2 linked regions of the Arabidopsis thaliana genome follow. The protein of the gene in region 1 interacts with the protein of each later gene in a biochemical or structural test. Each region holds a gene or a part of one and is shown on either strand. Other genes may lie near its edges. The genes, in order: ELF6 and BES1.

What was found.
Region 2: the proteins of ELF6 (region 1) and BES1 form a complex in vitro, tested with the Arabidopsis thaliana proteins (one study listed by BioGRID).

What each region holds. Positions count from the first base shown.
Region 1 is NC_003076.8:1,167,147-1,175,258, reverse strand, and holds ELF6 (Zinc finger (C2H2 type) family protein / transcription factor jumonji (jmj) family protein), read right to left. Parts: upstream 6,107-8,112; 5' UTR 6,043-6,106; coding exon of another isoform or gene 5,848-6,042; 5' UTR 5,716-5,847; coding exon 4,659-5,715; intron 4,334-4,658; coding exon 4,255-4,333; intron 4,132-4,254; coding exon 4,064-4,131; intron 3,758-4,063; coding exon 3,607-3,757; intron 3,517-3,606; coding exon 3,005-3,516; intron 2,921-3,004; coding exon 2,756-2,920; intron 2,612-2,755; coding exon 621-2,611; 3' UTR 267-620; downstream 1-266. Other genes in the region: AT5G04238 (uncharacterized protein), read left to right, coding at 5,848-6,042. UniProt on the Arabidopsis thaliana protein: Histone demethylase that demethylates 'Lys-27' (H3K27me) of histone H3, thus acting as a positive regulator of gene expression. Demethylates tri-methylated (H3K27me3) and di-methylated (H3K27me2) H3K27me. Inactive on H3K27me1, H3K4me3, H3K9me2 and H3K36me3.
Region 2 is NC_003070.9:6,686,634-6,691,156, forward strand, and holds BES1 (Brassinosteroid signaling positive regulator (BZR1) family protein), read left to right. Parts: upstream 1-1,901; 5' UTR 1,902-2,046; coding exon 2,047-2,105; exon of another isoform or gene 2,106-2,200; coding exon 2,201-2,471; intron 2,472-2,788; coding exon 2,789-3,532; 3' UTR 3,533-3,778; downstream 3,779-4,523. Other genes in the region: AT1G19340 (Methyltransferase MT-A70 family protein), read left to right, coding at 26-165; RRA3 (Nucleotide-diphospho-sugar transferase family protein), read right to left, coding at 4,039-4,523. UniProt on the Arabidopsis thaliana protein: Positive regulator of brassinosteroid (BR) signaling. Transcription factor that activates target gene expression by binding specifically to the DNA sequence 5'-CANNTG-3'(E box) through its N-terminal domain.

The sequences.
Region 1 (8,112 bases):
CTGGCAGCATTATGTTGTGATTTTAATAAGATGCGTAATCTATATCGTTAGATAATAAAACCCTCTAAGGAATTTACAATACAAGTAAGAATTGGGATAATGATTAACTCACGTATACGTAACTACAACATCTGACATAGATTCTATTTTTAATACACGTGTTCCTCAATTCCAATTGACACATTACAATACTTCTCACGTAACCAAAAGCTCAAAACTTAAGTTTCCAATTATAATACATTTCCGTAAAAGACTGATATTTGTGACCTGGGAGAAAACAAGAATACTTTTTGTTAAACCGTTTGGGAACTGCTGCAACAAGTCTGTAGGCAATGAACCTAAGAAGAGATCTGGGATTAAATGGGTGAGTCATGCGTATTAACATTTTGAATCCAATCGTTACATGTTTAACAACGAATCTAAACAAGAGTGCGAGGCCTTCTCAAAAGTGGAAAGAAGTCACATCTATACTACATAAAGAGATATAGCAACGGTCTAAACCACTAGAAAAGAACTAAAAAAACCAACCAGATATTACATGTTACAACAACTCTCGATTCCAAAGAGAGGCCATTTCACTTTGTTCAGCCACCATTTTTAAGCATTCAGTGCCGTTTTTTCTATGTGACATAGTGCATGGTTTTACGTCTGTGGCGACTATAGTCAGATACAAACCTAAACGACAATCCACATCCATCGACCTTGCATATGTATGGTCGCTCTCCCGTGTGCAGACGCAAATGTTCTGTCCTCGCCCATTGCCATTTGAAAGTCATTGAACATCCTTTCCAAGAGCACTCGAAAGGTCTTTCATCCTTATGCACACGTTGATGAAGCACCAGATATTTGTGAGCCCTGAATTTCTTTCCACACCCTTCGTGAGTGCAACGGTTTCTCTTGTGAGTTTGTAATTTCGCTTTACTCTCAAAAGTCATCTTGCATCCCTCTAGGTAACAACGGTTGGGGTGAGTTGTCGTGGGGACTTCTTGCTGACGACTCCCTGAGCAAGCCTTTGGTGTTTTCTTCAGCCTTTTCGCAATGGGTTTCTTCTCTTCATCACTCGTTTCAGTGTGCTTTAATGAAGTTTCACATGTTGCTTTCCTCTTGCCCCTTGACCTCAACCCTTCACAAGGACTCCTTATGAAACCAATGCTACTCTCTGGATTATCATTTGTCTCAGACTCTGATTCTATTTTCCGCTTCTTCTTTGCTTCTCCCATAGAATTGGGAGCCTCAATAACTTCGGTGTTTTCTGAGCTTGAAACTTCACTCTCCATGCTAAGCTCATCATTTAGAACTTGCAATCCATTTGAAGAAGCTTCATCACCATTGCTCGAACTTAATATATCGCTACTTTCCAAAGGTTCACCATCATGGGTCATGTCAACAACTAAGTTCTCACTGGCCGTGTTTATGTCAGGAATTTCCATACCCACATGAGCTGAAGAATGCTCAGTGTGCAGAATTATTTCAGAGCACAAGTTTTCTCTGGTAGACACAGCTTCTGCTCCCTCCACCTGTTCGTGATCACCAAATACAGCTTCTCTTTGGGTTGGTTTCACAATCTGTGATTGCTGTTCATCCTCAATATTAGTGACAGTAGACCTAGGTTCTCCAAACTCTTGGTCACTCATTTCAACCGCTTCCTGAATACCACGTACAGACACATCACTGCAGACATAATCACCAGACAATTTTCTTGGTCCGTCATGATTATCACCTGTAGAAACAAGTATGGTCTGGCTTGCCACAACATGACTACCTGAGTTGGAGCCATTATTATTGCTGGTCATAGAGTGTCCTTGGTGCTGCTCTCTGGATATGGAGGTTAAGGTTAGGTCAGCAGAGTCTCCATTCACCATACTCAAACTATTTGTGACATTCCCATCTAAATCTGAACCAAACTTGACAGTGATCTCGGGATGTTCTTGCCCATGTCCCACAGTGAAAGATGAGCTACAAGGATTTATGGAAAATGATACCCCAATGACCCTTCCAGAGTCTCCAATCTCACTGTTCATCTCAGAACGAATTGCACTATCCAGATGTGACCTACTGCTAAAATTTTTACATGTCTTATCAAAATCTTTTGATTTAGCTAGGGTAGCTAGCTCCTGAACTTGTTCTGCTGAAGGCTTTGGATTCAACTTTTTCTTTCTCGAGTACTGGATGATCTTTTCTTCCTTTTTTCCGGTCTGAGAATCCAAATTATCCCTTAATTTTCCATCTGCTTTTACTTCAAGATGTTCACAAGGTGTGAAACTTGAGGTAGAACTGGGTTTAGCTTTTGAGCGTGATTTTCTCTGCAGCCATCTGATAGTTGTAAAATCTAGCATCTGGCTTGTATCGGAGAACAAGCCACCTAGTGACAGTGCATGCTGAATTTTCTTAGTAGGGGAATTTTTCCTCACTTTCACACAGTACCGTAAATTGATGCCAAGTTCTGAGGTCCAGTCTACACTGTGTTCGTATTTTTCTTCATCTTCAATTGCAAGATCAATTAGACTCAACTCTTCCTGAGATGCACTCTCTAACAGGACATCATCATAGCTGAAAGGGACTTTGACCTCCTCTGCCACTATAGCCGCATGTGCCTTGAATTTTTGAAAGTCTGCAACAATTTTAGAAAAAGGTTAACAGAATATCAACAATCAACAGACTTTTAGATAATTTTTATTTCCAGGGGGGTGTAAAAATCATAACTCTCTTCTATTCAACAATTTATCAAAAAGTATCGCAAATGATGCAGACAAACCTTTATGGCAAATAACAAGGAATTTCAATCCACCTCTTGATTGCAGCAGTCTCTGAAGTTCAATAGTGTGTTCGAGGCAGAAAATGCGAGGTCTTATATATCTAGAAGACGTTTTCCATTCGCAGTCAGACTTTTCTGATGACAGTGTCATAATTTCCTGAGCATCTGTAGAGTTAATAGAAACAGAATTAATAGACTTTAAAAGGCATATGATGCAGTTCATAGCTTGGATAAAAACTGATCTGTTACCTGTCTCTCCTTGTCTCTCTGAGAGATCTTTTAATGCTTTTTCAGAAGGCTGTACCACAGACATAAAGGGGAAGCCAAGAACGCCACAAGCCACACATGGCAAGGTTCCAGTATCAACTTGGAAATCGTTAAGCAGACCATCATCATCGTCGTAGTATACATCATTCAGCTTCTCCATGAACAAGCTCAATTCCTCTAAAAGAGAAGTCTTTTCTTTATTCTGCAATTCAGAATGACCCTCCTCAAGTTCTTTTTTTGCCACTGCTGGAGGTGAAACAGCAGAAGCACCAGCAACTCCAGCAGCTGCAAGAGCCAGTGCGCTATGACGCGGAAGTAAATCAGGGTCCCACATCACCAAACGAGAGCCTGGTTCTCGAAGAAGAACAGATAAATTCTTGTTTTCGTTCAATATATCTTCTACAAAAGCTCTTTTCACAAGGAACTCTCTTTCTTCTCTCTGCCGATCTCTTAGTCGGGAGCTACGACCACCTGGTAGCAATGATCGTGGCACTCTGGAAAATGTAATAATTACAAGAATATGAGCATTGACATGGTCCATCAAAACGTACAGGTTATATGACAAAGAGACCATGGTAACCTGCCTTGAAACAAAGGACATAGTCAAGAGATATAGCAGCTGCTGATGGGACAGCATGGGTAGATAATTCATGGCTGCCCGACGCACAGCAGCTTCCTTTGCTACGTTGAGCCACTGTGGGGTTCCAAAATTAGCGGCTTCCCCACAGTTAAAACCTAGGAAAAGTTATATTAAACCCGCTTAGTTATGGATTCCGAAAAGTTTGTAATTCGTATTCCTAACCTAAGCCAAACTATCCACTTTTTTTACTATGCGCCTGAAATAACTACCCAATAGAAATATGATTCTTCATTCTTCTGATTGGAAGATCAATCCTCACCTCATGCTATGTCGATAAACACCCTTTTTCTCCACAGCTTTATTCAATTTCTCACATTTTCTCAACCACTTTGTAGAATGCAAATGGAATGAACAGAATTACTAAGACTTGAAAGAAATGTTTGAAAAAAAAGGCACTTTACCGTGGCTGAATCCTACATGATAAGACCTCGGAAAAGTCACAACAAATTCACCAGGATTTTGTACCAACCTACGTAGGCAAACAAACATAAATAAACATAGATATAGCAGAGAATGGAAGTAGTTATAAGAAAACACTGCCTCATATCTCCACATAACAGAAGTGAAAGTTTAAATGAAATAAAAGGCCTACCTACAGCAGGGAATGCCAGATGCAACTATCATCTCAGGTGATACAAGAGTTGTCTTTTCGCCTAGTTGGGTGAGAGCAGCTGACAGTAACAACGAGCAGAGAAGTGTTAATGAGAAACAGGACAATGCTTTTCCTAAGAGTATTGCAATCTCTTCTATCTATCATAGCGCAAAAGCAATAAGACCTACGACAATTAACCACAATTAATAAACTCTCTTCATACCATGGTCAATGTTAGCCATATTTTCATTTGCAAAGTAGGAAAATTATGCTAATAAAGAAAACGTCAATGCGGTAATCATTCTAGGAAACCTCATTTTTCACATGCATTATAATAACAACATATCTCTATAAATACAGAAACAGTATATCATCTTTAGCAGTAGTTTTCAAAAAGAACGTACCCAGTTGGTCAATGTTCCTGCCATAAGAATTTTTGCGGATAACCTCTTCAAAGTCAAGCGCATAATCACAAGGGACAGCGTACCAAGTCTTTGGTGAGCCAGTGTGAAGATAATTCATACTGTGAAGCTCATGATCCTCAACGTGCCAGGCAAACCAACTGAACAACATACCGATATAAACCATGGGAGATGTAACACCAGGAATGTCATCTGGCATGAAACGTGTAACAGAACCAGGTGAACGTGCAATCATCTGAAGGTTCCACGAACTGTTGGAGAGCTTCCAGCCTGCAGTACCTTCCATTTCATCAACAATATCCATGTTCTTCTGCTTGGACGAATCCTGAGATGATAAACTTGTAGAAGCAAGGGGTGCCTTTTCTACCTCAGGCGATGACTTTTCACCGTTCTTACCTGATGGATCATTATTTTCTGTCTTCCTCTGATAAAATCCCCTGCCCCTCCTCTTCCTCTGCCGGAAATGCCTGAAATGATCCTCTGGCTCACCGAAAGCAGAGCCAGGCACGTCATTAGCATACTCTATATATATAGGCTTCTCTAAAGCCGCTTTCCAGAACAATGCCTCAATGACAACTGGTGCCAGTTCCTTAACCGTTCCTAATTGGGTTTTGTAGAAAGCTTTCGACTTAGCTTCAAACTGATCCAATGTATAAACGCCTCCACTTTGCCAAACCTGCTTAACACCACTCCTTTGAGAATTACTCTTACCCTTCTCTCCTTTGTTTTTTTTCACAGTTTGGCCTAACTCTTGCTGCCTAGTGGTGAATACAGCTCTATCCTCTTTACACACCTTCGAAATGTCAACATCTGAAACCAATTCGGGACACTTCAAAAGAGACTTGTTCAAGTTGTAGAAAACATACTTTTTCGATGGCTTGGGTAAAGGAGGAATGATCTTGCAAATCCCAAAGGCACTAGCTTCCTTTTCGATTTTCGATATGTAAGCAATGGGATCTGCAAATTCAGTGTCTGTAGGTCTAAACACAGGTGCCAATGGCAAAGCTTTAAGCCAATTCGGAATTTCAACATTACCCATCTTAAATTCCCAATTCCGTAAGACCCAGCACTTCAAACACCAAAATCAGATCAATCCCACAATTAACAAGATCAAGAACAGAAACCTAGTGGAGAAACCCAGCACTCTAAAACCCTAGATTCGAAAATTCCGATGCCGGTTTCAAAGATGTATCTTCCTGGCTTCTTCAAATCGGGACCAAATCAACACAATGAAATTTTACGTAACGGTACGATCAACAACGGCAAAAGCAGCGGAATCTTCATGAGGAGAAGAAACGATATGAACTGTGCGGTTGCGCAACGACGGAGAAACGGAGGAGAAGCAAAGAGAGAGAAAGTTGTGTAAAGAAATTGTTAAATCTTGAAAATTCCTAATTTACTTTAATGTTTGCCGTTGGCGCATGTTAGCGTGGGATAACTAAACTCTTACTAGTGTGCGCGCAGTATCAGATAACTTAAACCAGCGGTTCGGTGGTTCGTGGACCAGACTGACTCTTTTACGGACCAGTTCTGGACTTTTGGATTACTGTTTTCGCATTTAGTAGCATTAACTATTAAAAGCCCACTACGGTATGGCCCTATTTATAATAACCAGTTTTTGAAAGAAAGAAAAAAAAAACTGTTTTCTTTCTCATTAATATAGACATGATGAATTCTCATTTGATAAACTCTAAAGAGAATAAGAAAGAAAGAAAAAAGCGACGCCGACTAAAAGGGCGATCATCAATTTCCAATCGCCGTTCGTGCCGATCATAACAGCAGACACCACCATCGCCGTCCCTCTTTTGGGCTTATGAACTTCTCTCTCACGAAGAGTTTCCATCAAATTCAGAGTGAGCGGAGCTTGAAGACCGGAGATATTCTCGTTTTCTGCCGGAATTAGGATAAGTTTTTGTGTTTTCAACAAGTTTGGATTAATCTTGTGGGTTGCATATTAGTTTGCAGAGTTTGGTTGAGATCGCCTAGGGTTTGCTTGTACAAACCTTCATCATCTGGATTTGCTCTGGTTTTCTACTTTATTGATAAGTTAGTGAAGCTTTGAAAGGAAAGTCAATTGCATAAGATAGATAGCTGTGTTTATAAAATCTACCAAAGCAATTGTTCAAGTCCGAGCAAATTTCTAAGGTTATTGAGAAGTTGTTGAGACTCCAATGAGTATACTAAGTTGGAATTGTCAAGGGGCTGGGAACACTGAGACAGGCCGTCGTTTAAGGGAGATGCAAAGAACGTTTTTTCCAGATTTTCTATTTCTCATGGAAACTAAACAAAAAAAGAAGTATGTTACGAGATTACAAGACTCTTTAGGTTATGATAACTGTTTCATGGTTGATCCAGTAGGATTGAGTGGTGGCTTAGCCGTTTTTTGGAAGAATTGCTACAAGGTTGAAGTGTTGAGTGCTGATAATCGCATAATTGACTTGAAGGTGAATATAGGGTCAATGATGTTTTTCCTCACTTGTGTCTATGGCGATCCAGTGAGAGCTCTTAGACAGTTAGTATGGGAACAACTTTCTGGGATTGGCATTGGTAGAAATGAAGCTTGGGTAGTGCTTGGTGACTTCAATGAATTGATGACCAATACCGAGAAAATGGGAGGACCTCTCCGCAATGAATCATCTTTCTGGGATTTTCGTAACATGGCTCATAATTGCAAATTGGCAGAGATAAGAAGTTCTGGAAACTGGTTTTCTTGGGCAGGCTGGCGAGATAAAATATGGATTCAATGTCGGCTTGACCGGAGTTTCGGTAATGACGAATGGTTTCAATTATTTCCTAGAGCTCATATGGAATATCTTGATATGTGGGCATCAGATCATCGACCTATTTTGATTACCTTTGCTTCGGAGCAAAGTGTTAATGCCAAAGGAAGGTTTTGTTTTGATAAGCGGTGGTTATCAAAACCAGGAATTGTTGACGTAGTGAAAAGAGGATGGTGTGGTGGACAACAAGATATAGAGATCTCTTTGGCAGAACGTATAGGAAGATGTAGATCAGAATTATATCGTTAGAAAAGATCATCAAATACTAACTCTGAGATAAGGATGGTGAAGTTAAAAGAGACTCTTGAGAAGGAAGTTTCTAAAATGCACCCAGACCCCAACGTAATGCAGAGGACAAAGACTGAGTTAGCTTTTGCTTATAAAGAGGAAGAGATATTCTGGAAACATTGCAGCAGGGAACAATGGCTTAACACAGGGGAAAGAAACACTCGTTACTTTCATAACTGTGTGAAGAGTAGAAAGGTAAAAAATAGGATCTTGATGCTTGTGGATGAAGAGGGTGATGAACAGTTTTCAGAAGGATCCAAAGGACAGATTGCCATAAACTATTTTCGAGAGCTCTTTAGCAGCTCAAAGCCACAAAATTTAGATTCCCTTCTTGAAGGCTTTGAAGCAAGGCTCACACCATCTATGAA
Region 2 (4,523 bases), on another chromosome or scaffold:
TTGTTTCCACTTGGACTTTGTGTAGATATACTACTGAAACACACTCCCGGGTCTCAACCTGCTCGGTGCCTTGAGCTATTTGCGAGGGAAATGGCTGCCGGATGGACCTCTTGGGGAAACGAACCGCTTCACTTTCAGGACTCGAGATACTTTTTGAAAGTTTAGTGGGCGCATTCCCTAGGGTGTAACCAAGAAAAAGGCTGGCTTGGGCCCTCATGATCGTTTTTCTCTATGACTCATTCTCAAGCTGGGGACAGTTAGGAGAGAACCCTTGGAAAGAAGTGGAAGGTTCGGTTCATCGCAAACGACATCGTTTGAAGAAGACAACACTAGAGTAAGCCTGAAAAAAGTATAGTGTTACTAAAGATTATTTTGTCTCAGAACTGTACCATCAATTTAGTAAGCTTTTTCCTTTTCCTTTCATAAACAGATGATGTTTCAGATAAAATTTAAATATATTATCAGTACAGTAAGATTACATACTATATTAGTATCACTATTCTGCTATTCACTAGATTTCTTTTTCTTTTTCAACAAAATATGAATAAAATAAAGGCAAAAGCGTGTTAAATATAAATTCAATAAGTGACTACTCGTTGGAAGATCATATCTGCTTTGATGGGTCTATTTGTGGGGCAAATCCACTATCCAGTTTTCCTTTTGTGTTCAATGAACTATACAATTGTCAAAAAAAAAAAAACATGAGAATTAAAGAAAATCATCATGACCAATGAAGAGCAGGTCCCAACAATAATTCCGAATTATAGGCTCTGATTGTTATAGCAATCAAACAATATGCTTACAAATCACAAAACAAAATTAACGATATTTCCAAATATAGAGCTTTCCAGTTTGACTTAATAATGTTGTGTGAATATCCTCACATTTCCATTTTCGACTCTCTTTAGTAAATTTTGAAGTAGTAGAATGATGTAGAATGTTTTGTTTTATCAATCACACAGTTTTGTGAAATCACGATTTCCATCCACTATTCAAGAAAAACATCAAGTGGAAGAAATAATAAACCAAAACCATCGCAACAAAATGCATATCACGAGTATAGAATGAACAAACTACACTGTCAAATACTTAATTTAGGACTTAAACTTCGCTTTCAGACAACTTGGTTCGGAAACTTGACCATCCGTCATGTTGATATACACAATCCATCTCAAATGTAGTAGTGAATCACTATATCAGCATGTGTTATCAAACGCAAGTTGTCACTAAGATCGGAGCTTCTAGTTCAAAATGTTGATAAGTATTACGAAAGTACAATTGAATATACCAATTATACATCCAAACACGTCCATGCTTCTCCACTCGAGTTCTCTTTGGAAATCTATATAATCCGTCGGTTTGGTATTTTACTAGTTGTACGTAGTGTCTCCCCTCATATGTATTGAGTCTTTATAGTTTGTTGCCTCGTATACGATAGAAAGTAAAGGCTAAAAAACCATACTATTTCATAAAGGGTTTATTTAGTTAACTTTTAATCTAAACCATGTATCACTCCATTTTACGTATATTCGTTTTCACAAATAATCTACTAAATAATTTTGTAATGTGATAAAATTAAAGAATAAACACATGATACATAAACAGTCAGGACAAAAGTAAGCACTCATTTTCTTCTATTCATACTATAGTGAAACACTATTTTATTTTTATCCATATACTATAGTGACAAATTAATCTAATCATTAAATGTTATGAGGCTCAAAACAATTTGTTTTCTTATTTAACATGGCCGATCCCCTCATAAACCAATCAGATGGTGTGTTTTCCGGTCATACTCGTGTAGGACCCACTTCATTACAATGGCCCCACATGTCTCTCTATCTTTTTCTCCTCTTTATAAAATCAGCTCCTTTTCTTACACAGATTTAGAGAAACACAACATAAAACGTACTTCTTCTTCAAAACGCGAAACCACACTGTAAGTTACGTACACCACCACCTATCCTCACCATTCATCATCGACACGTGGCTGGTTTAACTCAAATCAACGGTGAATTCTTTTTGCTTTTTTATTTTAAATAATGAATGAAAAGATTCTTCTATAATTCCAGCGAAGAAGAAAGAAAAAAAAAAGCGTATTCCTCGTGAGCACTAACTTCTCACTCATTCTTCTTCTTCAGCTGAATCCAAATACCCATTTCCATTTTTAACCGTGGTTGGATTGTTTTGAGAGTTGAAGGAAGAAGATGACGTCTGACGGAGCAACGTCGACGTCAGCTGCAGCTGCAGCAGCAGCGATGGCGACGAGGAGGAAACCGTCGTGGAGAGAGAGGGAGAACAATCGGAGAAGAGAGCGGCGGAGAAGAGCTGTTGCGGCGAAGATTTATACTGGTCTTAGAGCTCAAGGTAACTACAATCTTCCAAAACATTGTGACAACAATGAGGTTCTTAAGGCTCTTTGTTCTGAAGCTGGTTGGGTTGTTGAAGAAGACGGAACTACTTATCGCAAGGTCAGTATCAAACGCATTTTTACTTAGATCTGATGTTATCTGATGATTTAGCTGTTGAATCTGAAGATTTGGATTTGAAATTGGTCAAATTGGGATTTTCTTGGCTATGAATTCGAGGTTTTTAGCTGAGGAAGCTCAGTTTTATTCTAAAATTGGATCGAGATTCCTTGCGGAGAAAGTGACCTTTAGGGTTCTTCTTACTAATTTGAGAACCGAATTAGCTTTACTTTCACTTGGTTACTATATTTAGATCTCTCCTTTAGCTTTTGATTGATTGTGACATTGTGATGTTTTTGGTATTGTTCTATGAGCAACAGGGACACAAGCCTCTACCTGGTGACATGGCTGGATCATCTTCTCGAGCAACTCCTTACTCTTCCCATAACCAAAGTCCTCTTTCTTCCACTTTTGATAGCCCCATCTTATCTTACCAAGTCAGTCCTTCCTCTTCTTCATTCCCGAGTCCTTCTCGAGTTGGTGATCCACACAATATCTCCACAATCTTCCCTTTCCTCAGGAATGGTGGTATTCCTTCATCGCTTCCTCCACTTAGAATCTCAAACAGTGCTCCTGTCACTCCACCAGTGTCATCCCCAACTTCTAGAAACCCCAAACCATTGCCTACTTGGGAATCTTTTACCAAACAATCCATGTCCATGGCTGCTAAACAGTCAATGACTTCTTTGAACTACCCGTTTTATGCGGTGTCTGCACCTGCCAGTCCTACTCATCATCGCCAGTTCCATGCTCCGGCTACTATACCTGAATGTGATGAGTCTGACTCTTCCACTGTTGATTCTGGTCATTGGATAAGCTTTCAAAAGTTTGCACAACAACAGCCATTCTCTGCCTCTATGGTGCCAACCTCGCCTACCTTCAATCTCGTGAAACCTGCACCACAGCAATTGTCTCCAAACACAGCAGCAATCCAAGAGATTGGTCAAAGCTCCGAGTTTAAGTTTGAGAACAGCCAAGTTAAGCCATGGGAAGGGGAGAGGATCCATGATGTGGCTATGGAGGATCTAGAGCTCACGCTTGGAAATGGTAAAGCTCATAGTTGAGATGAAGTATACATGAACCTGTTATGTCATGTCGGAAGGAAGGATTGGAGAATGAGAATTAGTGTGTTGTTCATTCAGTTCATGGTTTTGGTTCTTGTTCTAGAATCGATATTCATTGTACCAGTGAGTTTGTTTCACAACGCATTATTTGTAGATAGAATGTTTAAGATGTATGTTTCTATTATCATTCCTTTTAGGTCTTGAAAACATTACAAATATATTACATGATTAAGTGGCTTGAAATGTAAATTATATATCGGATGATGAAACAGAGAAAAACAAGTGAGGCTAAAACAAAGACTTGGGATGTAATAACAAGATCAGAGAGGTTAAGAAAGAAAAAAAAGACTTGCGATTTTAGCCATAAGATACACAAAAATTCATAATACAAAGAGGAAAGTAGAAGGCATGAAGCAGTAAACATTGGAAAAGGGAGAAATATATTAGAATCACAAATGTCAAGAAACTCGGAAAGTTTTTTTTAGCCTATCTGCTTTTCAGGTGAATCATTCAGAACCATCGGGGAAGCTATCAAGCGCGTCTTGCTTACCGTTAACGTAGAACTCAACGACGGCTTGCATTCTATTGAGCTTATCTGGATGGTAATTCACATGAACAATCACTGGTTTCACTTTCTTCTTCAGTTCATGATTCTTTCTTACAGTCTTGAAAAGGACCTTACTGTTCATAAACTCATACATATCCATGACTCTCTTGGATGCATGTAGCGCAGTGTACTCAGGATGTGAAGGATAAAACAGTTCCTCGTTGAAAACCGCTTGGTCCCACACTTTAGCCTTAGAGAGTCTATCTGCCACGCGATCAAGCAGCTCGATTGATGGAATTGTAGGCCTCAAATAGAAAAACCCGGAATTGAAAACCCATATCCTCATAGTGTGAGCATACCGAGCCCATCCCATGGCTGGTTCATCAAACACATCATTGAACCCATAAGCCGTATGATTGTCATGGCCATCACTCATTGACTCCA